4 linked regions of the Oreochromis niloticus genome follow. The protein of the gene in region 2 purifies or fractionates together with the protein of the main gene of each other region. This does not show direct contact. Links are inferred from orthologs where the notes say so. Each region holds a gene or a part of one and is shown on either strand. Other genes may lie near its edges.

The links.
Region 1: the proteins of rad18 (region 2) and polh purify together in Homo sapiens (affinity purification with western blotting; 7 studies listed by BioGRID, with this or other methods). This does not show direct contact. The link is inferred for Oreochromis niloticus from reciprocal best matches to the Homo sapiens genes RAD18 and POLH.
Region 3: the proteins of rad18 (region 2) and slf1 purify together in Homo sapiens (affinity purification with mass spectrometry; 4 studies listed by BioGRID and IntAct, with this or other methods). This does not show direct contact. The link is inferred for Oreochromis niloticus from reciprocal best matches to the Homo sapiens genes RAD18 and SLF1.
Region 4: the proteins of rad18 (region 2) and shprh purify together in Homo sapiens (affinity purification with western blotting; 3 studies listed by BioGRID and IntAct, with this or other methods). This does not show direct contact. The link is inferred for Oreochromis niloticus from reciprocal best matches to the Homo sapiens genes RAD18 and SHPRH.

What each region holds. Positions count from the first base shown.
Region 1 is NC_031978.2:15,456,893-15,464,260, forward strand, and holds the start of polh (DNA polymerase eta), read right to left. Parts: upstream 3,009-7,368; 5' UTR 2,833-3,008; coding exon 2,696-2,832; intron 1,585-2,695; coding exon 1,450-1,584; intron 1,264-1,449; coding exon 1,031-1,263; intron 902-1,030; coding exon 723-901; intron 643-722; coding exon 539-642; intron 446-538; coding exon 326-445; intron 83-325; coding exon 1-82. UniProt on the Homo sapiens protein: DNA polymerase specifically involved in the DNA repair by translesion synthesis (TLS). Due to low processivity on both damaged and normal DNA, cooperates with the heterotetrameric (REV3L, REV7, POLD2 and POLD3) POLZ complex for complete bypass of DNA lesions.
Region 2 is NC_031970.2:22,246,690-22,253,782, reverse strand, and holds the start of rad18 (E3 ubiquitin-protein ligase RAD18), read right to left. Parts: upstream 3,023-7,093; 5' UTR 2,887-3,022; coding exon 2,836-2,886; intron 938-2,835; coding exon 859-937; intron 300-858; coding exon 238-299; intron 22-237; coding exon 1-21. UniProt on the Homo sapiens protein: E3 ubiquitin-protein ligase involved in postreplication repair of UV-damaged DNA. Postreplication repair functions in gap-filling of a daughter strand on replication of damaged DNA.
Region 3 is NC_031977.2:14,783,356-14,790,611, forward strand, and holds the start of slf1 (SMC5-SMC6 complex localization factor protein 1), read right to left. Parts: upstream 3,009-7,256; 5' UTR 2,748-3,008; coding exon 2,739-2,747; intron 2,647-2,738; coding exon 2,561-2,646; intron 2,327-2,560; coding exon 2,203-2,326; intron 524-2,202; coding exon 445-523; intron 266-444; coding exon 40-265; intron 1-39. UniProt on the Homo sapiens protein: Plays a role in the DNA damage response (DDR) pathway by regulating postreplication repair of UV-damaged DNA and genomic stability maintenance.
Region 4 is NC_031983.2:20,481,464-20,488,758, forward strand, and holds the start of shprh (E3 ubiquitin-protein ligase SHPRH), read right to left. Parts: upstream 3,023-7,295; 5' UTR 2,876-3,022; intron 3-2,875; 5' UTR 1-2. UniProt on the Homo sapiens protein: E3 ubiquitin-protein ligase involved in DNA repair.

The sequences.
Region 1 (7,368 bases), on a different chromosome or scaffold from region 2:
ACTGCAGCCAATGGACTTTGGAAGCTGTCTTGGTTTCACAGCTTCAAAATCAATCCCCCGGCACAAGTCATACAGCCACTGACTACATTAAACAAGGAAGCAGGATAAAGTTTAAGGTCCCTGTAGTACTGAAGGGTTTCCAGAATTACAAAGTTTCTTTTCTGAAGCAGAAGTTCAAGTTCAGAAGTTCAGAAATGTTTAAGGAAGTTTAAAAGTGCAAAACTACTTGTTATTACTTTAATAACACCATGTGATTATTTTCTTAAGCAAGTTATGTCACCATTATCAAAATGACAGTGTTTAAAGGCATTTCTGGCTCTCTCACCCTGTTTTTTCTCCAAAGTGCTGCTCCAACTGAGCCTTAGAGAAGCGAGTGAGATCGCCCATGTTCTCTATTCCCAGAGTTTCTGTGATTGAAGTTCCCAGCTTACCCCCCAGGTTACGGCTGCAGGGAAATAAATAATACAAGAGCACAGGGTTTAATTTGAAGTTTTAGCTGCCACTCTGTCAATGTAAGCAATGACATAACTAAACTTACATCTTGCCAACGGGGAGACTGCTGAAAAGTTCTGTCACAGAGTCCAGAGGAAGAACAGTTTGTCTGTTGGGCTTGTTCAGACCACAGGCTAGTTTAGCCAATACCTTGGAAAAGTGAGCGGTAAATGATTATCTCTGCAAACACAGTTACCGCTCTTAGACTATTAAATAGGAGTTTATCCTACCTTATTGTGTGATATTCCTGCAGAACAGCGGAAACCTGTGTGTTTCTCCACAGCTGCTCTCATTTCCTCAACAATCAGTGCTCCAACAGTTAGCTGCAGTTCTGCAGAGCTCTGCTCACCCACTGACGGGAACGTTAAAGATTCCAGCCACTGCTGGAGACCTCTGGATCGCTGTTCCTCTGAGCACAAACATGATGTTATTAGGAGGATACAGCCTGCCATTGTTTTTTAGCTGTTATTTTTCGACAGCTTTCTGTATCAACTGCAGAAACAACTCATTGGGTAACTGAAGTTAGCTTACAGCCTACCTTTATCCAGCACAGTATCCTCTGCAGATTCTTCAGCTGCAGGTGAACTTTGCGGGTACCCCTGGATGTAGGTAGTCCTCAAGAGCGAAGGTTCGATTTGTTTGTCAGTCATATTTTTCAGTCGCTGCTGGACAGCGGCAGTCAAATCCATGTAGGCCTCATCAATGCTAGCTCTCTCAATCACAGCAAAGCGAGACATGACCTCAATCACCTCCACACTCGCCTCTCTGTAACTATAAAGGGGACAGAAAGAAGTTATTTGCAGTACAGCTTTGGCCACAAGAATTTAAGGCAATTTAAAAAATAATCGTAAATTTAATTAAAGACTTAATGTTGATCGAGTGTTGATCCAAAGATTTAATGTTGATCCAATTAAAAAGAGGAAGTCTCTGGGGATGTACATGAGCAGCAGCACTTACTTTGTCAAGTCTGCCTTGCCATGAGACTCACGCACTCGTGCCACCTGGAGGTCTGGGCACAGTTTTTTTGCATCATCCACCCACATGTTCCTGGTGACACCATGGGCCCTGGCCTCGTAGCTCACAGCTATAATACTAAGAAACAATAACATTTAGTCAAGGATCACAAAACAATCAAAGTGTGAAAACATTTTAGAAGGTGTCAAAGCGGTTATTTGTGGGACATGAAGGCGGGTGAGTTGCCAACACAGAGACATCAATTCAAATGGTCAATGCAACTGAACACACGCAGTCCTGGGAACGAATTCACCAGTGGGTTACAAAAAGAGAGGGGAATGTTTAAATTCTCTGTAATCTAGTGACCATTTTGTTTGATCCAGTATTTCATTATTTCAAAATCTGCTGATCTACTGGCATTTTCTCCCCTAACACCAACTCTATGGTTTACAGAGAATGGTCTGAAAAAAGAGAAAATAAACCAGCAGTTTTCTGGGTGAAAGTGCCTTGTGCAACTAAGAGGTCAAAGACTAGACTGCTTCACGCTGATAGGAAGGCAACAGGAACTCAAATTCAAATAACCACTCAATTAAGTTATGCAAAAAAAGCATTTTTAAACACAAAAAACGATGAACCTTGAAGCAGATGGGTTACAGCCACGGAAGACCACAGCAGGTGCCACTTCTGTCAGCTAAAAAACAGGAAACTAAAGCTACAGTTCAGATGGGTTCACCAAAATTAGACAAGAGAGGACTGATAGGACAATGTTCCCTGGTCTGATGAGTTCAGATTCAGGCTGGTGGAGGTGGTGGTGGTGTAATGTTGTGGGGGATATTTTCTTAGCACAGTTTGTGCCCCTTAGTAGAAACTGAGCATTGTTTAAACACCACGGCCTACCATGTCCATCCCTTTATGGCTACAGTATAACCATGTTCTGATGGCTGTATCCAGCAGGATAACACACCAGGTCACAAACCTCAAATCATCTCAAACTGGCTTCTTGAACATGCCAGTGAGTTCACTGCACTCGACGTTTGGCTTTTACATCAACCTGTTGACTCTATGCAACAAAGAATTAAGGCAGTTCTGCAGGTAGGAGTACGAACAGGATGTACCTAAAAAACTGTCCACTGAGTGTATGCATAACAGCGTAAGGAACACCAGAAAAAAATGTTTTCGTAACGGCAGCTCGGCTAGGTGTTTCAATTGCGTCGATCACAAAAACAGCATCTCTGTGTCAGAAACTCACCTGCCTCCTTTCCACGTCTTGTACTGGGCCACCACACAGGGAGTATTCCTCAGAGCTGGATTCAGCCTCTGCTCCACCTGCACGTAAAAGCAGTCCATGTCTACTAACGCCACCACCCTCTCCTTCCCGTACTCCATTGTTAACGATGAAAATCTATCGGTGGTGTTAAGATATATGTCCGCTTCTTGGCGGGGCTGTTAATTCACAGCTGTCATCAGAACTGAAAGTTCGGTGGACTTGAACGGACCGCCAAAATACACACCGACCGCTTTGCATTTCGAGGGTTACATAAATACGTCATCAACAGTCGACGAAGAAGTCCCTTGCTAATGTCGTCACCACTGAAGAAAAACAGTTGCCTGCACACAGTGTTGCCAACTTAGCGACTTTGTCGCTATATTTAGCGAGTTTTCAGACCCCCTAGCGACTTTTTTTCTTAAAAAAGTCGCTAAAAAAGACGTGAAAGCACGTATCGCTTTTACTCTCAACAAGCAGCGGGTGCTGTAACACAGTCAGTTCTTCTTTTACTCTTTTACTCATATGCTGTTTTGTAGATCACAAGGTTTAAAACTACTTATAAACACACACACACAAAGTAACTCCACCAGAGTGCCTATTTCGGATCACTTTTGCCAGTCCAAGCCCGGGTGAAGGAGCAGGGTTGGAATTGTGACATTAAAAAAAACAATAATTGCTAAAAGAAATTTAATTTGTAGTTCTAAATAAACTCTAAATGCATTTAGGACGTTTTTTACTCACTTTATGTCTCTTCCACGATGTTATTTCTCTCTCCAACAACATAGGTTACAATTATATTAGCATGACCAATTATGCAAATTAGGTGATGACGTCATTTAGCGCCTTCTAGCGACTTTTAGGACAACCAATAGCGATTTTCCTTACTGAGGAGTTGGCAACACTGCCTGCACAGCGAAATTAGCTAGCAAGACCACAAAAGTGCAAGAAAGTGAAGTTTCAAAACATCAATATATACAAACACTATATACACAATGTGTAAGTTACAAGAAACACTGTGGGGGTGTATACAAGGGCATCCATAATATAAAGTAAGGGTGGAAGGGCATTTAGTCATTAAGGATAGTGATAAAACACTTGCAAAATATGGAAAATGCAATGTATTAATAGTGTAATTTTGAAGTATTTCGCCTTCTCCCTTTAGTGACCACCAGTGGAACTCCTGACCTTCTCTATACTTTGCCATCTACACTACATCTTCTTAACCTAGCTCTGCCCCTTATTCTTGAAAATTGGTACCAGTACACTCCTTTTTTACATTCCTTTTTCAACAGCGCCCAGGCATCCTCTCACTGTCCAAGGTGTGGGAAAACAATATGGTGAATAAGTCCACTGCCCTCTCTCCTAAACATCTCCACACTTCCACAGGTCTATCCAACGGACCAACTGCCTTTCCAGTCTTCATCCTTTTCATAGCTGCATTAGCTTCCTCCTTACTAACCCTCTGCACTTTCTCATGCGATGCTACAGTTCCCCTCTTCGGACCTTTCTCTAGATGCACAAAGGAACAGCACAACTTCTTCTGGCCTTCTCTATACTTCTCTATATTCTAAAAGCCACAGTAAACATTTTATGAATCTGTGGGCTATCCTTAAGTAAAATGAAAGAAGACCTTTTTGCAGAAACAACAAAAATGAAGAGTATAGTTCATGCAACAGTGGTAAGTAAAGAAGGTGTTTGGCTTCAAGAATGCTGAAGAACTTGTTAGAGTTACTTCAGTCTCTTTCTGAGGGCAGATGTACCCAAGATTGTTAAGATCTGATTGCTGAGGACAGAGTTATTGCATGGCAGTCTACAGAGTGCTCCAGTAAGAGGTAGAACTACAGAACTCAGTAAGAGACCATGGGTGAATATAAGTCCACCTATTCTTCTAATGACTGACATAAAAATAAACATATATAGTGAAACAACACAAATGATCTACTAATAAATTGCAGAAATAAATATATTTAGATAAATTCCAACAGATGTAGTTAGGGGCTATTGTAACTATCAAAACAGGTTTGATCCAATGGCTCTCAAATGGGAATCCTCATTAAAATCATTATCTATTCATTTGTCTCGTTGTATTGTTATAAATAATAAAATGTTAATAGATTTCAAAAAGTCAGACAAACTAGTTTATTCCTTACAGTAACCAGTGAGAGGTTTTGAACAATGTTTAACTAACACGTGACTTATAAATTAGGCAAATTATGAAATATACTTTTGATAGTTTTGGGTGAATTGCAGTCAATTGTAAAAGCCCTGAAAAGAGAAACACTGTCAAAAATATAAATAAAATGAGGAAGCAATCCAGGTTGAAATTTTCCCTGTGATAGTGAAAGGAGTCACTCACTCACAGCAGCTGTACCAACATGGTTCTTCTATATATTTATCACCTATTGCTCACTGGATTGCTGGGTAAGTAAGATAAGCCTCGAGCTGGTAAATATTTAACTTAAAGAGATGAGTCACTAGTGGTTCATCATCAGCGTTTAATATTGTGTTTAATATTTTACTGTTAGGCCATGATTTTGAATTTTAAAAGTGATACAGGGGACATTTTAAGGTATTAACTCGTATTAACTATTTTCTTTTAATTTGTTAGGAATTCACTGTGGAATTATTACAGTGAAAAAAGTGTCAGTGAAGAAACTGGGTTCTGTCTCTATCCCATGTCAATATGAGCCACTCTACAGAAATCATGTGAAATACTTGTGTAATGGATACTGGTGGTTAGTTTGCTCTCAAGAAATGAAAACAAGCCAAATGAAAACATCATGAAAGTTTTCCATCTCGAATGATACAAACCAAAGAATCTTTACTGTGACTATTAATAATGATCTCACAGTCAACAAGTATTTCTGGTGTGCTATAGAGACTGGCAATGGAAGAGATGATAAACAATATTTTCATCTGTCTGTCAGCACAGGTACAGTAAACTCTCTTATTTCAGGGTTTTAAATTCCTCGTTGATGTTTTAAACAAGGCATTTCAGTGAACTACCTGGCAGAAAAAATGGCTAATGGCTGTATCTTTTTTTCCCTTCAAGGTATGAAAAGTCTAAATGTAACCCAACAGGAAATTGTAGGTTTTGAAGGAGAAAGTATGACTGCTGTGTGCTGCTATAACTATCCAGTAGAAAAGGGAGTAATGTGGTGTAGACTGGGCAGCAGCTGTGTAACCAATCAAGATGGATCAATAGATGGAACAGCTGTGAAAATAAATGCGAGTGTCCCTAATCTTTTCACTGTGACTATGAGCGATCTGAGATCAGAGAGCAGCGGCTGGTATTGGTGTGTCATTGGAGACTTACAGATGCCAGTGCACATAATAGTTCATGAAGTTACTTCAACCGGTACGACTGCACTGCACACCAATACAAGTAAGATATTAACATAACCTTTCTGTTTTCATAAGTTGGCAAATTATCATAAAAATGGCACCACAAAGGTTTAACAAATCAGAGAAATTAAGCTTCAGGCAGTGGTGGGACACTGGAGCAATGCAACTTATCTTATGATGGTCTTATGATGTGAAAAGAATGGCTGTAAACAGTCAAATGACCTTTTTACGACACTGCTGATTTTATTTGGCTTTGATCACTTTCAAAATTCAAAAAATCCAAGTGACTGATTTTCATCTGTCTTGACATAAGCCCCTTAAAAAATAACCTGTGAATAATTTGGTAAGTTTGAAATAAAAATAAAAAACATTATCCGAGAGGTATAAATGGGTGTAATTTATTCATTCTTTGATCCAAGGAACTTCACAAGGACACTTTCAACCACTCGCCAACATTCCTCCTCCCTTACAAACATTGAACCAAATAGAGCCCAGCCAACAACCTCAATCATACAAATCATCCTCTTGTATCCATCCATCCTCTTGTATCCATCCTCCAGGCTGGAAGCTGATGCTGGAAGCCTGGAGGATGGATACAAGAGGTCTATCACTTTTAACAATTTGCATATCCCCAGTATTAGACAAAACAGAACAAAACAAAACAAAAACTAAAGATCAAATTTGCTCCTGGAAAAGTATTCATCTTGTTCAGTTTTAGAATTGGTTTCTGTTGTTTGAAAAAAGCATGTCAGTTTTATCCTCATCTACCTTTATCTTCCAATTCCACTAAGATGACGATTCTCACATCTGTCCTCATCCTACAGCTACTGATCGTTCCTGTAACATTATTCACACGGAGGTTGAAAATGCGTAGTGAGTGAGTTTTCTAATTAAATTCTGGGATAAAATACTGTATTTGTATTTTGACAGTCTTGTTATATGTTTCAGAGAACACCAGATCTGAGGGGTGTGATGCCACTGTTGTAAGTTACAGCAGTTTATTTCCCAATATTTGGTAATAAATCTATAGTCATTGCTATCGCTGGTGTAGAGTTAGCGCCATAAGAATTTGGAGAATGACTTCATTTTTGTTATTTTGCTTCAGTACACCAATACATAAAAATCAAACGGTCAAGGTGAGATTCACGTGTGGTTTCAGCTGTGATTTAAAGGGTTTAATAAAAATGTTTGCATTAACTGTTTGGGAATTACGGCTGTTGTATACATAGTCCCCCATTTTTAAAAGCTCAAACTAATTCAAACTAACATAATTTTAGATTTCAGGACTGTTTTTCTTACTTGGATGAAAA
Region 2 (7,093 bases):
CAGATCTGCTTCTGTCATTTGCTAAAAGAAAAAGAAGTGAGATATGAAGAAATTCTGCCTATAGGGTCCAAAATCCAGTGATATTTACAATTAAAGTTGAGCGAGACAATGTTTAAGTGATGTTCTTCAGTGAATTACTTAAATAATTTAATCAATATTTACTGATATTGATTAAGTCTCTTTAGGTAATGTCCTTAATTATTATGTAATTCCATTACAAGTCATGGTCATACTTACTGTATTGCAAACTGGACACTGGAGCTTGTAGGAAAGAAATTTCCGGATGCACAAAGAACAAACTGCAAAATAAAATGCAAACACAACGTTTCGGTATATTTAATCAATTACAAAAAAAGTAAAGTGGTACCCATTTAATCAGGTTGTCCTCCTCTCCACTACCAGTAAAGTTAGTTCATGTCAGCCCGTTGACATTTTATCACTCTGAACTATTTGACGTGTGTGACAGTTTTTAATTAAGCAAATTGTGAAATCTGAAGAGTGACAGAGAGAGGGTGAAGTGTTAAGAGAAGATGAGAAAAATAATATGATGTGTGCAGCTCTACAGTAAACCATTTTAAATCGTTAAAAATAAAACAATAGAAATGTAATGTGTGCCCGTCAATGTTGCGTTATGGTAGACGATCAAAAATAATTAATGTAAATATACTTGGTGATCTGCCTCTGCAATGTGTGGGATATAGTGCATAAACCAACCAAAGGACAGCTGATTGTGCTTCAAATTCAGCTTTTCTGAAATCATTTCAGCTCAATTTTGCTCGTTTCAAAAATCCACTCAGTGTTCTTCCTTTTATTTGCATGAACATCTTTTATGACTGCATCTGCACTGCTATTACTTACAATTGTGTGAGCATTTTGTCATCATTGAAATATTGAGAAAGTCGAAGCAAATAGGACACCGAAGCAGCGCATCGACATTCTGTAGATGGGAGAGAGAAAAAAAAGAGCTTAAAATCAACAAATACCTGGCAATAACAACAACAACAACAATATATTTTACCTACTAAAAGTATGGCTGGCTCAAAGCATCCGTGCATGAACCTTTGCACTTTTAATCATATATTATTTTAGGATGAAAATAAATTTAAAAAGAGATTCAGGATAGCAAAAGTTGACAGATGAAGATGTTACTCACTGTATGATAAATAAATGTAGTACTCTAGCGTTGGTGAATGTCCTCGTTTAGCAAAGGATTGCCCATACATTTCCATGCAAAGGATATCATTTCCTAAAACCAGTGTATCCAACTAAATAACAGGAAACTGTCTAACCCTCCTTTCTCATGTAGAATGTTCTCTTGTAAGAATGTTCAGGGTTACACATCTTTTTTTTTATGTAATGTTTGCATAGCATCCAAAAATACAAGTTGTCCTTTCTTTTCTGACCGCAGACAATACTGTGCACACATTCTGAGTCATCCCTCATGTCTTTATTTTTTGCTTCCATGGAGCCAGGCTTTCATGTGATTTTTTTTTTTTTTTAAACTGTGTTGAGCAATAGACTCCAGACTTTCTGAAGGCCTTTCAAATTTTCCTCTGGTCATTCACAGCTTTGTCTCTCATTTTCAGAGGAATGTTTTACTTTTCTTCTTCATTTTTAAGCCACTTAATATTGACCTATGAATAAACCAAACATAAAAATCCCACATAATTCAAGGGATAAAACAGATTTGTTTCTGCAAATTGACAGATAAATTACCACAGAACCAAATTTAAATTGCATATTTAGGCACAATGTTAGCAGCCTGCTGGATAAGGTCATAATTTGCTCCCATTTCTTAAGCTGAATCTATGAAAAATTATAATTATAATTTTATATAGCACTGTTCTACTGTAAGTGCCTTCTATCCAACATTCACACGCCAATGGTTACATCAGCGAGCAACTTGGGGTTAGTATCTTGCCCATACAGACTATAAGAGACAGGGATCAAACCACCAACCCTCTGATTATTAGATGACGTCCTAAGCTACAACCCACAACAAAACAGTATGTTTGCACCAACTACTCACTTTCCAAACCACTATTAGGAAAATGAACAAGAAGAGGTCAAAATTAGAACTGGCAGGTAGGGGTGGGAGCTATATCCTCAAGATGATAACATAAAGGAAATTTGCAATAATATTTCTGACAATACACCAACAAAATAAAAACTGTATGCCCTTTTATTGGTGACTGCAGCTTCCAGGCTAGTGCTAGTGTCTCCTCCTTGCATGCCTTTATAGCCTTGTCTTACTCAATGGTGTTTTTGTAGTGAAACAACATCGTTATTTCCACCTTTATCGGGATTAGTTTTCTTGCACATTTGCAAATTATTGCGCTTTGCTGGCGATTGTTCAATACCCTTTTTTTTTTTAAACTGAATCATGTAAATCGTCTCTTGCTATGTTTAGGCTAATTTTGTTGTGTACCAGAAAGTAAAGGCATGCTGTGGTTCTATCACTGATACTGTAATATGACACAGCCATCTACAGCAGATGAACAGTAACAGATACGAGGAGAAGGGAAACCCAGCGAAGACCTGACGCAAGACCCGTGAGATTAGTTTCTTTTGATGTTAAGGAGCAAGGGGTTCTAGCTCGTGTGCTGTGATCAACATTAAAGTTAAATTAGACTGACTTCTGTCATTGTTGCACTGTATTTAAAGGTTAGCAAACGTTTCATTACTAACTGTAAGCACGTCAGTTATTCACGTGAGTTATAGAGAAAAGATTGAACGAATGTGATGTAAGTGTAACTGCTGGGGTTTTCAGTTAGCTGGGGGCTAACAGCCAGCATGTCAACACAACATTTGAAATCAAACAAAGCTACAACCTACTTTCAGACATGCGAGACTAGGTGGTAGATCCGCTTCCATCTCGAAGGCCATTTTCTCCGAAATAACGCGCAGATTCTTGCCAAAGTTAGCCTCAGCACTTTTTTTTTTATTCGGCGCTCAGCTGTGAGAGTCCCGCTCACAGACCGGGATGCGTCTGACGTCATTTGACAACTTCCGCTGAGCCACAAATATGTAAAGATTGTAGCTGCGCTCGTCACTCAGTCAGAGTCCGGGTTACATTGTTTCAGGTTTAAGTTAGAGGCTGTCTTTATTGTTTAGACTTAAAGGCATAGCAGCACTTGTGCTGCCTCGTACCTTTCTACAGGTGCAGATTCAAGAATATCACATTTGATATACATGCATTTTATACACAATGTTTTACTGTTTGACCAATCATAGAAAATAACAACAAAACAAGGCTTTTTTTCCAGTTAAAGTTTGACAGTGGGAGCAATTTTTTCCAGAATAATTACAATATATGATGGACAGCAGCTTTTTTTAAGCTTTTGTCTGTCTCTTTTTCTGATGTACTTTGTTATATGATTTTATAAATAACTTCCCGTTTCTACTGAGTTTAATATCTTTAATGTCAAGCTACAGTATAATTTAGCATATTAACAATATACAATACACATGTACTAATAATTTTAACCAGCTTTAGTTATTTTGTAGCAGGACTTTGCAGGACTCCAGTGTAAGATGCCAAAATCAAGCCCTTTCAGTTGTACTCATTGAAGCAGCAGAGCCCCGGCCAGATGCAAATCCAGCAAATCCCCACTCTAGCAACCTCTTAGCAATTCCAGCCCCTGCAGACACCCACCCAGAGCCCTCCTCTCGTTTCCACCTCCCAACCCCAGAGCCAGGATCTGGCCTTCACCAGCAGGAACAGCTTTATTCTGGACAATCAATTGATCTCTTCTTTCTCTCCTTGGCCATCTCTCTTCAACCGACAGAAGTGGTGGGGGAGGATGGTGTGGTCTGGGAGCAGGCCATGCATAGGGGGGTCTTAGCTGATGGCACTGAGAGACACGTGCAGCAGGCCCCTCTTATAAAACAAAAATGATGCTCACAGAACGTAACCTGAAAGCAGTTTATGTTACCGGTAACCTGACATTCTCTATCACCATGTTTCAGGTCAATGTAAGCTCACCGGTATATTATGTAAAATGCTGGATGTTTCACCTCACATTGAATGAGAGGTGAATCACCTCCTCAAAACTTAAAGAAGTCCAGTCACTTTCATTCCAAGCTCCTTAAACTACCATGACATGGATGACAGAGAACTTACACACACATTGTGTAATGCTCACTCACGTTCACATTCAGGAGATTGTTAGACTCTCTGTATCAGGAAAAGGTATGTGTGTTGCTGTTGTACTTAACAGTCCTGTGATAGCCACTTATGACTATATGTATATATTAATGAGGCTATGTTGCACATCTGTTGCTATTATGCAATGACATAAGATACCTCTTAGTAATATACAGCACATTTGATGCATAATTTGTGACATCAACAAATTTACCACTGGAATAAATCAGTTTAATTTATATTATGGATTAAACATGAAATACATGAGAAATTTTATATGAAAAAAAAAATCAGTGGACACTGAAGGATCCAAAAGTCATAAAGATTAAGTTTTTCTGGCTCCAGTGGAGGGAGCTAATAGGAAAGACAGCCACTGCTAACTCCAACCAGGGAATCTGACAGTGGAAAATGACTATTACAAAATAAATGACCTACTTGTGGTGGATGTAAAAGGACAGGCTCTTCTTTTGTGGTGTCCACACCATGACAGACTTGTGTTTTCAGATGACACTAACACAAGTGATTCTGGATGACAAGTGTAGCATGAAAAAAATGGTACAACCAGTTCTTAGCTTGCCTCATGTTTTATTATAATAGTTATTCATGCCTTTGGCAGTTGTTTTCAGGACATTGATGGGAAAGAAATAAGTTAATCTTGTTCTTACAGTGGAGAATGCTCAGCAGATTTTTCGGAGGCTTTAAATGCAGACAATGAATATCATTTCCCTTATTGAACTTTAGACTAGTAAGTGCTTACCAGAGATCGAACAATAACCCACGTAACATGCAGTGTAAACCCAAAGAAGTTAGCACAACTTCAATAAATTAATGCAATCGATTGCCCTAAGGTTTTTAAGTTTATGAACTTAAAAGTTGAAGCTTATAAGAACTCCAATATTTTAATTACATTTGACTAAAAGTAAAATGTTTAATGATTATATTCACAAATATTTATTAAATACAACTTAAAGTCTTGATTTGTGTCTCTAATGCGAATAAGGTGGCATAACTTAAAAGGAATGAGTACAACAGAGTCACTTTTTGAGTTATGAAAACTGCGTATTTATTGTTCACTTTCATCATCTTTTTTAATTAAACAATAGTCAAACATCAACATTGAAAACTCCAAAACAAGTCATACAAAACTATTTGTATAGTAAACTATATTTAAGAATTATTAAAATAAATCATTTTAAAAAGACTTTTAAGTGCTAAAGACATGGTGTGTGCTTTTGAATATCTCAGTAGCAGATTCGATTCATTACACTGTAAACTGTTGAAACTCTAAAATATACACATACCACTGTCCTGGTTCTGTTATTTGTTAATACCTGTTTGGTTAACATTCATATTCAAAACAGTGACTATTAGAATTCTATTTCAGTCCAGTTATTGCAACAAAACAATGAAAATAACCCCACCAAAAAACAAAACAAGACACTATGCTTGGATACAGTGATCCGAACACTTGAGTCTCTAAGTTGGGGAACAGTTTACCAGCTTCCAGACTACTGTACTCTGATGTAGTGTAAAGATCACTCCAATCATTATGAAGAAGTTCATCAGCAGTTCTTGGGAGACCTCCATAAAGTTGTAACGGACTAGGTCGTTGTCATGGATTACTATAACAAAAAAAGAGGAGGTTCAACAGGCTCGTCCTGAATGAGTGTGAGTGTGTGATCGCAAATTAATCAACTATTTCACAAGATGATTTTATGTCAAATCATCTCTCCAATTCATGATCACTAGTAGTGACCCAGACGATTCTGCCAATCATCTGCTGTAAATCTTTGCATCTTTGCTGTGTTTTATACACTTAACTGAATGCACTTAGACTGAATCGTGAAGGTTTGGTTAACGTTTTTCTTTAAGTAATAATGTTTAAAGAATCCACAGAGCAAGAGACGCAGTGAGAATATATAAACTCCACACAGAAAGGTCCCAAATTCAAATACAGGACCTTCTCGCTGTGAGGCGACAGTGCCATTAACTCCACCATGGTTAACAAAAAGTTGAGCAACTCTTCCAACTCTGACATTTCGCTCTGACTGTGTTTTACTTTGCCTCTTATGGGTGTACTGTACCAGCAGACAAAATAAAATTAGCCCTGTCAGGCAGCTTTAGCTTCAAAATAACAGAAACTGGTATCTGCAGAACAGACAAACACAAAGTAAATGCTTTTCACTAATAAGTCATGAGATAAGATGCTGACCTTGGAAGTAAAGCCACTGCTTCGATAAAGAGACATTTCCAATTTGATCAGTACAACACAGGGCTGGATTTGACCTGCCAGCTGGCAGTTTGTAGCTTGTGGCCATTCCAAGCCACAGTGTCATTGATCATGTATCCTTAACAAGGCACTAAGACCTTTGTAATGCTGCACTTTGGGCTTAATTGTCCCCAGGACATGCATATATGTTGCTCTTAAATCTGAAGCTCAAGTCTGAAAGGACAGTTTCAACTATCCTTGTGTAAAATAGCTGCCATTATAAACCGGTGTCTGTTTTGTAATCATTGCAGTTTGATTAAATTCTGTTGTAATGGTTCCCTGCTGTTATTTGTCAGATGGCTCCAGCTTATATAGAGAAAGTCAGTCGAAGTGGAAAGAATACAGTCAGAGTCTACATCAAAATTCTGATCATGGGGCAACTTTTTTGGATTTGAATTGGATTATTTTGGGATTTCAGCCTTAAATGCAAGGATATCAAGCAAATAACAATGAACACAGTTTAACCTGAAATCTTTGTGATGACTGAAAAAACTCACTAATAATTCAGAACTCTTACAGCTTACTGGACTCTTACAGCCGCTGTATAAAAGATATTCAATGATTTAATGACCACCTTTATATACACAGATGTTGAGCATTAATCACAGGAAGTGTCATGGGAAAAGGTCATACCTCTGTAATAGGTTGCTATCTTATTTTTTCTTCATATATACATC
Region 3 (7,256 bases), on a different chromosome or scaffold from region 2:
AACATGGGTTAAAAGACAACACGTGCTTGTGACTCTAACCGTTTGAACATTGCTCTGCGTGTGGACCCTTGGACCATAAGGAGCACCCTCCAGCCCTGAAAGGCCCCTTTCAGTCTCCCACTAGCCACCTTCTCTCTCCACTGTTTGACAGGGTAGAAGGCAGCGGAGGAACCTGTGGAAATGGCCACCTCATAGGGTTCCTCTGCGAGCCAGGAGCCATTCTTAACACTGTCCAGCACGTAGTTTGGAGTTACAACCCACTTTCCTAACAAGAGACGAGCAGCAAGAGGGAAGAAATTCAATAAAACGTGTTATGTTACCTCTAGGACTTAAAAAACTTAAGAAACAATGAAGCGTTTTATGGCTACGTTAAATGTATGTAGGCTAAAATAGCAACAAAAACAAAGATCCACCGACATGAAATTCACAGCCATCATGACTCACCTGCAGCACAAGCTGCCAAAAACTTCTCACTGGACAACACCTGAGGGATTATGAGATGGGTGCAAGTGTGCTGATATACCTATAAGAAGGTAGTTTAAGGTGGTTATATGTAATCATCACAAGACATTTTTGTAAGTGGAGCTTGTCAATGATGCAAAAGTTGCTGTTTGAAATCAACAACAGATGTTCAGTGCAACTAACAGTGTTCCACTTTTAGGTGGATGCCCAGTTCATTTATTCATATTCATCATGTAAGTTAATGATTAAAAAAACACTTTCTGCAGGAAATATATTATAATGTGCCATTTTAAGATTTAACAACAAGTCATAATCACCTTTTCAAAAATAGATGAGGATGCTAGGTTGTACTATCTGATTTAGCTGCAAATCAGGGCAAAAATAATCAGCTCCCCTTTGACATTTAAAGTTTTTGTCTGAAATTTCCCAAGTGCTTCTTTAACAGCATTTCTACACTAGCTTTGCTCAAATGCTCAAAATTTGTAAAATCATGTGAAAACTGAAAGCTACCTTCCAACTTACACACAGTATAAAAACTTCAGCAAGAGTTTAAGCTGTCACAGGAGAAAGCTTCATGACAAAAACAGAAAGAAAACAGTTTAGACTTGAGAAAAAGAATTGTTGATGGACAAAGTAGGAGATGGATACAAAGTCATCACAGTGTTTCCATGTGTCTAAAGACCCCAGAACAACTTCCAAGAGACTAGTGAATGACTTAGCCAAGTTGTAAATTGTATACTCAAAGAAGACAATCATTAGACACCTGCACAGGAATGGACTGCGAGGTTGCAGATGAAGAAAAACTCCACATTTGCAGAAAGACTACACATGCTGAAAGCACATCTTTTGGTCAGATGAGACAAAACCAGGGCCAGAGAGACCCTGCGTATCTTTGGAGAAAGAAGGGTGAGGCATACAACCCAAAGAACACTATCCCCAAAGTGAAACACGGTGGTGGGAGTATTATGCTGTGTGCTTCAGTGCGTCCTGAAGTGGGAATCTCATCTCCATGAAAGGAATCATTAAAAAAAAAAAGGATATGAAGATTTTGAAAGAAAACCTTAAGCAGTCAGCAGCAGAACTGGGTCTGGTTTGCTGCTTCGTCTTTCAACATAATGACGACGCAAACCAAAGGTCAAAGTTAGCGCTATTGACTGACCTGCACAAAGGCCTAATAATTTTGACCCTCATAGTTTTGGGGTTTTGTGCAATAATTTTGGTTCTGTGTGTGAAATAAGATCCAAAATAAAACTAGGATGCTTGGAAAAGCTGTGTTAAAAAAAGATCCTTGCTGTTTAACAACACTTGAATTGAAATTCTACAAATACACTGGGGGCTAATAGTTTTGTTCTCATTTGTATAGAGGGATAATCAAAGCAGTATATAAATATAAAAATACAATTGAAAACTTTACTTGGACTGTCAAGATAAAGACACAGAACACAGACTTCCACAGAACTAATTATGATTGACAGCAAGCACAGCAAGTAATTCATTCAGTCAGCTACTTTAGGAACAAGTGCATTTCCTTTTTGATTGGTGTCTAAACACTTTCTTCATTACTTTAGTTTATGATTAGTCTCTAATTATTATGTTTTCTTACATCGCACAGGCTGAATAAAGACTAAATGCATCAGGAAGAAAAATGAAATTATTCACAAGCTGCAAACCTGTTCAGCTTGGGCACAAGTGCACGTGGCATTTCCCTAAAATCTACTGAGGGATCTCAATCTTACTCACTGAGCCACCAACGTATTTCCCACCCAGCTGCTGAATTCCCTGGATCAGAACTCTCTTCTCATCGCGGATTTTGATCCCAGAAATCTGGAAGACGTGTGTGCAGGTCTCCATCTTCGCGAAGAAACTGAAGAAGAGCCAAAATTAAGTACTTCGTTAAATTGTAGGAGACAATAAGTTAAGATAGATTGCATCATTCATTGGCCAATATAATGTTGCAGTTCTTGTTTGACTAGACGACTTAGATTGTTTCCACGATAAGCTTTCACTCTTGGTACACCAGGAAGAACAATGTACTGTTCAAACTGCACATCAAGGATATTAGCGTTTACAAAATTCATCAAAAAAAGTCAATACTTACGCAAATCGTGACAAAATTGAATTCAACTGATAATTAACTAAGGCTTGCTGGCATATCATTTGCTTTGCAGCGTCAGAGTAGACTAACTAAGAAGAAATAAATAAACAAGAAAAAATATCGGTTCTTTTCTATTCAATAAGCAATGTCAACTGTTTTAATGGCACAGCTGATCAAGTACCTCGGTCATACCACCAGTGGTAACTTCCAATTACACCCGGGCGCGCCAAACTCTCGTCACTGACATAAACATCCAACAAAGTGAATAAACTTCGACCAGTGTGTGGCTACTTTATCCGAAGCTACATTAACCGTCCCAAACAAAAATCCATGGCGCATTCGCTCTTTACATAACGGCCAAACGATAAGTTTAATGACAAAAATTACACGCGAGTACACCACCCAACTTGCAAGGTTGAGAAGCTTTATGGAATCCAATTGTTTTGGAAAGACAGGGGGGGAATCTCTCATATCGTAACATTTTTAACATGCATTGTCAATAACAAACGGCTATATACTTGATTTAAAAAAGACGTCAGAATATATTAAATATATGTTTTAAATAAAATATCATCTTTGATATGTAAAAATTATGCTATTAATTCCCGAATGCGAAAGCGTTTCCCTACCATTTGATTCGTCAGTTGGAATTTCCCACCAAGCGGAAGTTTTCATAGAGCTACTTCCAGGTTGTTGTCACGGACGCTTTCAGTCCCCGGAAATCGCCAAAAATAACTAGATGTTGTGCAGCAGTGGTTGAGTAACGGGGATATTTATCGATAGATAACCAATAAAAGTGAAATGCGACTTCTGCCATATCGGCTGCCCGGGAAACTGTGTACATAAACTGCTTAGTGCAATATTTGGTGACAGCGGTAGATATCCTGTCATAGTAATGCAATATCATATTTTTATTGGCTGTTGAATTGTCTCGGTTTTTGTTATTAGCTACAAATAGCTGTCGCAGACAGATATCAGCATGAAGTGACTACAAATGATGTCGGTCACATTTTCCCCGCCGGTAATGGATTAACACCGGATGGATTAAGTAAGAGCTTTTGTAAGGTAGGACACGCATAACATGCAACGCTGAGTCAGTCGAGTGGTTTCATTCGGGTTTTTCTTGTTTTATGCGACACACGAAACGGCCTTTTTTAAGATACAGATAAACTGTCAAAATAAGCAAATGCAGTACCACTTCCTTGCATGCTGTGAGCTGAGAGGTCTGTGTGTGGCTGTATGGCAGGAACTACGACAAGCAGGTAAAAGTCAACAGTCTCAGCAGGGCCTGTCTGTATTCTTTGTGGTTTTCTTTCATTATCAAAACAACAATATGGCTAAGTCTTTGCTTTGTAATCATAAAATTATAATTAATAACGAGAGGAAAATTCTGTTAATAAGTTAATCATTAATTGATAAATGTTTTGGCACAGTTTGGTTTTAGTGTGTTAACTAGTTACAGTTGCTTATTTTGCTTTTAGATGAGGTTTTATAAATATGATAGGCAGTCTTTATCCCTTTCTTTTGTTGTATGGATGAAATTATTAGGATGTAAAAAAAAAAAAAAAAAGAAAAAAAGAAAAAAAAAGTGTGATCTGGAAGGTCAGAATGTGTCAGTGCTTGGCCAAACACCCCCATAAAGAGCAAGTGACAGTAACCAGCTCAACTCTTACGGTGATCAGCTTCTATCCGTCGAATCCTGGAAATGAGTCTTGTAACATTTACAAACCCAATCTGGACAATAGGAAAACTGTGTGAAATGTCAATAAAAAACAGATGATGATACATGATGATTTGTAAATCACATAAACCCACATTTTTGTTTTATGAAAGAGCATAGAAAACATATCAAATGTTAAACTGAGAAATGTATCATTTAAAGAAGAATGAAAAGGTCATTTTGAATTTGATGACATCAACACATCTCAAAAAATTTTGGTACAGGGTCATGTTTACCTCTGTGTAGCATCCCCTCTTCTTTTAACAACAGTCCATAAATGTTTGGGAAATGATGAGAGATGCTGGACTTTTGGGAGAGGAATGTTGTCCCAGTTTTATCTGACAGAGAATTCTGGCTCAACAGTCTTCTTTGTTGTATTTTTTTTATTTCATTATATGCCAAATGTTTTCAGTTGCTGAAAGGCCTGGTCTGCAGGCAGTTCCGCACCCAGATTCTTCTATTTTGAAGTCATGTTATTGATGTCATAGCTGCAGTATGTAGTTTTCTTGGGGTTAGGGTTTGGGACATATGTTGGTCTAAAACGTGTATATACCTTTCAGAATTAATGGTGCCTCTCTAGATGTGTAAGCTGCCAATTCTATAGGTACTAATGCACCTCCATAACAGCAGGCATACAGGCCTTTGCAGTTAACATTGTTCTTTTTTGGGCATTTAAAAAAGAATATTGGATTGTGGAGTAGTGAAGATAATCAGGAAAGTAGAGACAGAGAGGGGGAAGACATGGTGCACAGGTTGGACTCAAACTTGGACCTGTGCCCAGCACTCCAATGAGTTGGCATGTGGTCACCTGCTCACCCACTGAGCTAAAGTGGCACCTGAGGAACAGTTCTCTGAAACTTCACAATTTGTACACAGAGTTTTTTGCAGATTGGTGAATTTCTGCTCATCTTCTGAGAGACTCTGCTTCTCTCAGATGTTCATTTTATACCCATCCATGTTACTGAACTGTCGCCAGTTAACCAAGCTGGTTGCAAATTTTCCTTTTTCTTTTTAGTATCATTTACTTTGCTAGCCTTTTGTTGCCCCCATCTCAACTTTTTTTCTTTAAGAGATTGTTGCCATCAAATTCAAAATTAACTAATATTTTTCTTGAAATTGTACATTAGATCAGTTTAAACACTTGTTATTTCCTGTTTTCTACTGTGAATAAAATATAGGTTTATATGATTTATAATGCACTGAACACAGTTTTTGTTGGGATCCAGAACAGCAATTATTACCATCATTATCATTATTATTATTATTATCATTATTATTATTATTATTATCAGAGGTCAAATGTGACATGATATTGAATGCAAACTATAATGTGATATTCAGTATCATTTTCTAAATGTTGCCAATACCCACAAAGACAGCAGAATTTTAAGCATGATTTTAAAGATAAAAGAAATTGAAAGTTTGACCTTATTTGATGTTGAAGAAGAGGTCAGAAGTTCAAACTAACTTGATATTTAGAATCCCCACATATCATTCCCTAAATTGTTTTTATTATGTTGTCAATTCAAACAATGGCATTAAGAAACCATTTTAAATAGCTCTGTATAGCAATATAACGTTCACCTTCAGATCAGTCTATTGACCTTGAAGGAGAGGTCAGAAGTCAAATGTAACGTGGTATTTTAAATCTTTATGTTGTAATTTCTATAGATTTACAATACACACCACACTTGTAAAGATTATAGTTTATATAAGGCCTTATGCAAGTTATAAGGCTTTTTATCCATTTTCAACCAGTGAATCATTAAGTTGACCTTGAGGACCTTGGTGGATGTAAGCCAAATTTCAATAGATTGTTAACACGACTCAACTCTACACCATTACAAAGTTTAAACTTTTCAAACTGCCAAACTGTTTACAGACAGAATGACCCGGGCTTGCAAGTGCTACCAAAAAAATAACCTCTTTGTGTGAGGTAATAATCATCATCATCATCATCATCATCATCGTCATATTTTCAGTTAATTTTCTCCATCTTAAGATTGTCATTACATGCCTTTTTTTCTTAAGTCTGACAGCCACTTTTCTGAGTCGCTTCCAGACCTTTTAAAGCAGGAAGCTGGCACAGTGGGTTTCATCTCTTATTACACTTCTCTCAGCTTCTGAGATGGGACCCAGTTTATTAGGGATTTACAGATGTGCAACCCTGGGTATGTTTAAGGGAGTAAACCATGATGATCCAGCTTCTATCAGTTAGAACCAGGTTTTATTGGAGCCCCAGTTAACAAACTGACATTGGAAAACAATAATTCTGATAAATGATCATTTATCTATGAGTTAAAAAGTGGTGTAAAAGCAAAAGCAATTGCTAGTACTAACCTCTCAAAGGTAATGATTTTTCATGTTTGTTTGTTTTTTTTCCTGCAACATATATCAGCCAGTTTTAATCATTTGCATTCATCCAGTTTAAATCATATTAATATATTTGCTTTTGTCTCATCTTTGTCATTTGTACAGTAATCATGTTTCAACATTCAGTCTTTTTGTGCATGTGCACTAAATGCATCTTTAGGATCGCAGTATTTAAGTTTGCTGAACTCATGGCATTTGCAATAAGCTAAGATATATGATCTGCTCCAGTGTCACAATATTGTCTTTTTTTTTTAAAGGGTTGTAATTGACTCATTGCTCAGGGTACTTTAATACTGTTGAATGATGGTAACTACTCAACAAAACAACAACAAAAACAAGTAATATTTGGTTATTGAGGAGATTGGGAAGTCATGTATTATTCATTCCCTCTGTGTAGGCTAATCACATAGGCATTTTTTAGGTTGAGGAAAAAGTTGTTGCGTTCTGAAATCTGGATGGTTTAACACAGCATATTTTAGGAAGATATTGTATCCACATATTTCCCTATAGCAAAGACAAAAGTGACCAATACATTTTTACAAGAGTTGTGCCTCTTACAAAGCCAGTGATAAGGTAGACAGTCAAGATCATGAGTCAAAATCCAAG
Region 4 (7,295 bases), on a different chromosome or scaffold from region 2:
CTCTGCAAAGAGGGCAAATATTATGAAACGCTCACCAAAAAAAAAATAAACACCACGCAGTTTATTCATTCATAACCACATCAGTAGCATATGCCAAATACCTATTTTATATTTGGTAGGCTGAGAGAAAATACCCTTCCTGAGTTTCCCTGAACAATGCTGCTTATCTAATGAACACAATAACTTAATCATAAAAACTTTCCTTCATACAGACCATGGCTCCACAGTATAGTGGTTTACTCATTCACCTAATGAGTGAAAGATCTCCGGAGGACACACAAATCCCTTTGGGGCATCCAGTGCAAAAAATCTGTCAAATTAAATATGCAGAGCTACCGAGTATGGCAACCCCTGGTAAATACGGGAGCAGCTGGAGGATGCTTTTCTTTTACACAAACAAAATTAAGTAAAATCCAATTTTCCACTAACCAAACATTTTGTTTATTTATGTTGCCTTTTAGCCTATATCCCTCCTTAAATCATTACATTTTTACATGCACTTATGCAGGACTTAATATACTCTACTAGTACTCTTGCATAATTCACATTTCAACTTAATCCATATTTATTTATTACTGTGCCTTGGTACAACCTTTTTTAGCTGACTTTATCAGATGACTTTGTCGGAAAGTGTCCAGCTCAGAGTCCCTGAGCGTGCACAGCATTAATCAACTGCTGGTAGATCCACAGCAAAAATAATGTTTCTACAAAGACTTTTATATTAATACTGTGGTATGTTTGTACATGCATGAATGCTTCTGTTCTCACAGCTAGAGCTTTGTGTCTAAGATTATCCTTTTAGAATTAATATGCTGACATCATACAGAGTCCATCCATCCTCTTCCACTTATCCTTGTCAGGATCGCGAGGGGCTGGAGCCTATCCCAGCTACCGTAGGGCAAGAGGCATCATACAGAGTCAAAAGTAGGAAAAAACCCACTAGAAACTGGAGTTTTAAAAAGTTTAACCTCTTGGATCCTTGGGATTACTTGTACATAAGCTTTCTTCATTATTATAAACTTTTTTGTTTAAGAAGAGCACCCATGATTGCAACAGTTAAATATAATAAGACCACTTCAACGACAGATTGTGGATATCCCTTGTGAGCAGTTATTATGAGGTTGGCAGCAACTGTGATGTTCAAGGCTGATCTCTTATTCAGCCACGTTATTTTGTTTGGGGAAAACTTGGGTCCTGTGCAACTTCAGCATACCCAAAATACTCTGACATTAAGACACAGGAGAGTCTGATGGATTAGAATTAAGTAACAAAGCTACTTTTAGCTGCTTCCCTATTCATGACAGCATAACGCCACGTTTGGCAGTTTTTATGCTGATTGCCCTTCCTGACACAACCCACATGTATTTGTGTCTCTGACTGAGCCAGGGATCAATATTGATCATAAGTAAGTATTTCATTAAATTGATGTTTAGTGCTCAAATGTTGGGTGGCATGATGGTGTGGTGATTAGTGACATCACCTCAGAGCAAGAAGGTTCTGGGTTCAAATCCAGTCTGGATTCTGTGTGGAGTTTGCATTTACTCTGGCTTCCCACCACAGTCCAAAGACATCCCTTACGTTACTTGGTGAATGTGAGTCTATCTCCGTGTTAACCCTACAATAATGTGGCGATCTAGTATACCCTGCTTCTCACCATATGAATAGTATAGACAATCATTCTGTACAGTAATAATTATAGTTTTACAACTGTTTATTAATACTCACAATTGTATATCTACAATCTGTATAGTTTCATATTTCATATTTCTGTATAGTTTTCATATTTTTAATCATATTTATATCCTGTTTATAGCCTGTACATAGCTTGTAAACTCACTACAGCCTGTACATACTTATAGTTATAGCATATTCATAACATACCTTCATACCGTGTACATTGTAACATACCTATAATAGATCCATATTCTGTAATATATCTATATCACGTCTAAAGTACTTTCTGGATGGATGCAAACTGCATTTCATTGCCTTGTACTTGTGACATGTGCAATGACAATAAAGTTTAATTCTATTCTAATTCTAATTCTATTCTATTCTATTCTATTCTATTCTATGACAGCTGGGATAATCTCCAGAACTGGATAAGTGGAAGAAAATGGATGGACAAATGGAATTCAAGGGTTGTTCCAATAATGGTGAGGTCGTTCTCCAGAGAACAATAGGTGGTGATATCATGAATGTTGATTTCTAATCCGGAAAATGACTTTAACGTGTCCACTTATTTAGGTTGGCACCATAAGCTACTATGTTGATGTTGATCCCAGTAAGAAGTGATCTGCCTTTGTAGTACAGAAAACTGAGGGTTGACCCTGAAGTTTCCTGGTTAAGATGAAACCCTGCTTCACAGTAAAGGCCTCTTATGGGATACAACAGACTTCTTATTTACCAGCAGGTCAACAAGGCTCATACTGGAAGATAGCATATCAATGGAAGCAGCATGTGAGACTATATGAGGTACTTACTGTGGTATTAAACTATCAAAGCGAATGAGACATATCCCACAAGACAAACTGTCAGAGTTTAAGTTTGCATCCACAGCTGGAGCCTGTCACTTCACTTCATCTACATTGTATCTGTGTTTCCCACTTATGGCTCAGGCTACATGCACTGCTAGCTGGCTAACTTATACATCTTCTACACGACGGCTTACAAACAGCAGTTTTAAAATTAGCTCCTTCCCTGCGGGGAGAGTTTATCCTCTGAGAATTCAGTCAGCAGCGAAACCATCAGCACACAACAGTCTGTGGTATAAACAGTGTTACACAATGAGAGCACTTTCGCACAGCGCGCCACATTTCATCCCCTGGCTGCAAACAAGCAAATTAAAAAGGTAAAAGAAAAAAAGCATATTTACTTGTCGAGACTGCCTCAAACTGCTCCTGTTATTACAGCTCGACGAGAAATCGATTCATGCTGAAGCAGCTGCAAACACTCCGTCTGAACCGCAGCACAGTTCATCTACGGACATCAATGTTGACGTCCGCCATTTTTAAATGCAGGAAGTGACGTCAAAGCAGGGGAAACTGTCAGATTAAGTTTATCTAACACAAATTTATGTGACTCAAAACTTACAATAGATTAAATTATTTGCTTCAAATGATTGTTTTTTTGTTTTTCTTTTTTCATTTCTTTGCATTTTTTCATTTTAATATATATTGCCAATATCAGACAAAAACAGAGTTTGTTCGAGTCTAACGAGTTTGAAAGTCAATACTTGACCACCTTTATTCTTCAACTCAGCCTGAACTCTTTCTTCTTTTCAGTTTTCTTGTCATCTCTTCAAGTAGTCTTAGGGAATAGTTTAATAGTTTTCGAAGTTTCTTCAAGGACACTAAAAGACCTTCTTTGTTTGCTGCTTTCATTCTACTCTCTGTCAACACTACTTCAATAATGTTGATGTCCAGGGTCTTGGGAAGGCCAGTCCATGACTGATAGGTTCTATTGCAGGGTTTTTTTCAGCTATGGTTGTATTGCATTGGCATTGTGTTTAAAAATAATTATCATGCTGAAAAATTAAGCAGTTGCCAATAAGATGCTTTCCAGAAGGCATTGCGTGTTGCATTAAAATCTGGCTGTATGTGTGTTTTTTTTATGTGTTATTAATTCCAGCAAATTTGAAGAGATCTCCAACACCACTGGCTTAAACCAAATTTTGCAAAAGGCTGTAAACACTCACTGTTGTACTGCTCCCCTGACCTCTTCCAAACATACTGGTGATGGTTTGAACCAAATTTCAAATCTTGATTCATCACCCAATAAGACTTGTTTCCATTGATTTTCAGGCCAGTTCTGGCGTAATTTGCCATTTTCTCCCAGTTTCCCCTCCTTAAGAATGGCTTCCTGAAAATGTTTTTTTATAGTTAGTGATACTATTTAAAGGATGCATAAAAATCATCATCATGCTTAAACTACAGCTTGTACTTTACTTTTTCTTTCTGGCTCAAAATGACTTAATATGAATGATAAGAAACATGTTTGATTATAGGTCAACAAGCATTTCAGAACAGGTTAAATACCGGTAATCCTTTTTTGGCAGATGATCATTTAAAGCACTGGCATCTGATGAAAAGATAGGGAACTGGTATGAGGGCTGAAAAAAATCAGAAGCTCTGCCAGCGAGAACAGCAGGTCCACAACTCCACCTGAGAGAGAGGGAGAGAGAGAGAGCAGCAGGCAAGAGAAAGGAAAAGAAAGAAGTGGGAAAAAAGACTACTTGGACCAGGACACAAATTATACCTTTTTCTAATGGGCTGCTGGTAACAAACTGCTTAAAGATACAATTAAATTTGATTCTTTGCTAAGTTTTCTCTTACATGTAGACACAACAGTGTTTCATCCTTTGAGTTGGGTGGTTTTTTTTGTTATGTTTGAATGATTCATATGTCATTTTTATGTGGTTACAAAAAACAGACATTCCTCTGGCAATTCTCAGGTAAAAACACTGAATTGTAAATGAGCCGAAAAGCAGTGTATGTCCAAAAAAACACTTTAAAAGACCCCCAGAAGGCTTCATTAAAAAATTACAAGAAACTCTTGCTCATTGGAAGCAAAATATTTAAAAAAAAAAAAAAAGAAAAAAGAAGAGTCACTCAGCATTTTTGCACAGTACCGTAGGTTTATAGAGATTTCATGCAATGCCAAATTCTTTGCTGTACTGGTTGCTTATTTTCCGACCTAACCATTAAGTTTACAAGGGTACTTCTTAAGGTTGAGTAAATTTTTATTCAGTGAGGTTGCAGCAGTGGCATCACCTCTTAACCACAAGGTGGCAGCAGAGCCCGCTCTCTTTTGACAGCTGCAGCAGTGAATAACAAGTACATCACATCTGTCCGTGTCAGACACAACGCAGGAGGGAAAAATTAAACTGAAGTTTGACGAGTCTCTTTGAAGTTTACATAAAGTCAGCGACTGCCTATAAACAGTCTCTTACGTTGCGCTGATTTGGTCCAGGGGGTCTTAATGGAAGCTTGTCAAATCGCCACCTATCCCCGACTTATTTATTTATTTTAAAATATGCTTCTCAGGAGCCTCACTCTCACCCCGATCTCTTCCAAAATGTTATCAATCGACGCATCACTGACCCTTGTGATGTGCATGAACTCTGGTTTTAAATCAGGGACACTGCAGTGAGTCTGACCCGATTTAAAAATGCAGTGAGGAAGAGGAGAAGAAGGGAGCATCTTATCACCAGTGCAGAGAGAGAGAGGGAGAGAGGGAGGGAGGAAGAGTCCCACCGTGTTTCGGAGGCAGAAGAGTCCAGACCGGCGGCTTCAGAGGAGACACAGACCCACTATGTCCCGGTTATGTCCCTACCTGGTTCAGGTAGGTGAAATCATGTCTGTAAGACTGTTAAACATGCATGTGCATGCAGCTGATGATGTTGCATGTTATGACCTGTGAATGACACCGTTTTATAGCTGCAGCTGAGGACCTGGAGACAGCTGCTAAACGATAATAAAGAGTATTTAGGCAGAGCGAATATTAGCACACATTAGTGTGTGATGTTTGAGATAGCTCATTTCTGGCTCAAGCCATAGTGATTTTTTATTTTTATTTTTTGTCAAAATAGTCCAATACTTATTTCCAAAGGCTTGTTTTACTCACTTAACTTCCCTCAACTGTAGAAAACAACCACATGTATCAAAGATTATTTATTTTTTAAAATAATTACCATGTCCCCGTTGATCTTCGCTCAATTCAGTTACCAAAAAAAAATTATTAAATCAGAATACTTTAAATTTTTTCATTACCGTTGCATAGCTTTATTCATAATGGATATTAATAGATATTAATTCATTTTTAATACTTGAAGTCTTTGCATGAAGTTGATTCCCTGAATTGACTGAACACCCCCCTTCACTGGCCCTCTACTCACATGACTTAAAGAAAATAATATACCGTATTTTGTACAAGATCCAGACATGACTCTTTCATCAGCAGTTCCATGTTCCATGTTTTCGATTGGTTCACTGATATAGTGAAACACAACATGGTGACTTCTTTACAGTGTGAACTGATATTTTCTTGTAATTTAGATCATGCAGTTGTTAAATGTATTAAAACCCCTTTTGTAACTAGCTTGTTGTCCGTGGCATGAGTAATAATGACTGACTTAAACATTAAACTGCTTGTTACTCTAAAAAGCAGTAATGGAGTGCACACACAATAACATGCAGGTTGTGATAGTTTTAAATGTTCACTCACTTCTATTTTTGCATCTAAACCAACTAAATGTCAGAAAATCAACTGACTGTTCAGAAGAAAACGTAGAACAAATGGGCTTTAAATTTTAATAATTTCAAAATATAGCACTCATTATTTCATTTTTTGATAATCATGATGGATTTTAAAGCTGCTGAGACCATTAAGCAAGCATTTTGTCCTGAAACTGACACTAACTTAACACTTTTAATATGAAGTAAGAGAGCAGTAAGTGTGAACAGGATATTTCATCACCCAAAGGATCCTACGGGGGTCTTTATCAATGACTGAAGAGGTCTCTAGCTCTGTGTTAAATACACATAAAAATCGCTGAATTACAGGGTTGTAACCTCTTAAACAGGTCAGTTAAGGATGATTTAGATTTAGGTTAAATAGGGCAGCATAATTATACAGCCTTTATCTTCTCAGTTCTCAATTAATGAAATTGAACATGCAATTTTGTACATATATTTATTGTTGATTGCAGGGTATTAAATGATAAAGTTACATCATTTAAAAATTGGACCAAATTTCATTAAAAAATGTTTAATATAAAAAATGTATTTATACATACTACTTCAAACGTGGTCATGCAATTTTTAGATTATACTTGTTTATTAACACCTTAAAATACTTTTGGAGAAAAGTCAAGTTAGATTTCAAACACTTTTAATTAATAGAGATGAGACTAGTAATGGGGAGAATACAGAAAATATTGTTATAGCGTAATATCCTGAGCTTTGCTCTTATTTTTGGCACAATGTCTCCACTTTGAAATGGCATCAGAGATGAGGAATGATGCCGAGGTAGAAGCTCAACAAACAGTCAAAGGTATAAATGTAGAATCAGTTGAGACCCTCAACTAGGACAGTGGCAGCTGTCCGTGGTGCTAAAATTCTCAGTTTCCAAATAGCTCTGTGTCTTCCACGTGAACATGTAGTGTCTTTAGATATGTACTTATTCCCTCCCAAAAAGTATTTGCCTGGTTGGATCTCCTGTATATTTTTACATTTTTAGCTATGGTGTGATTGGATGAAAGATGATTGATCTGCAAGTATTTTTTCTCCTTCAGT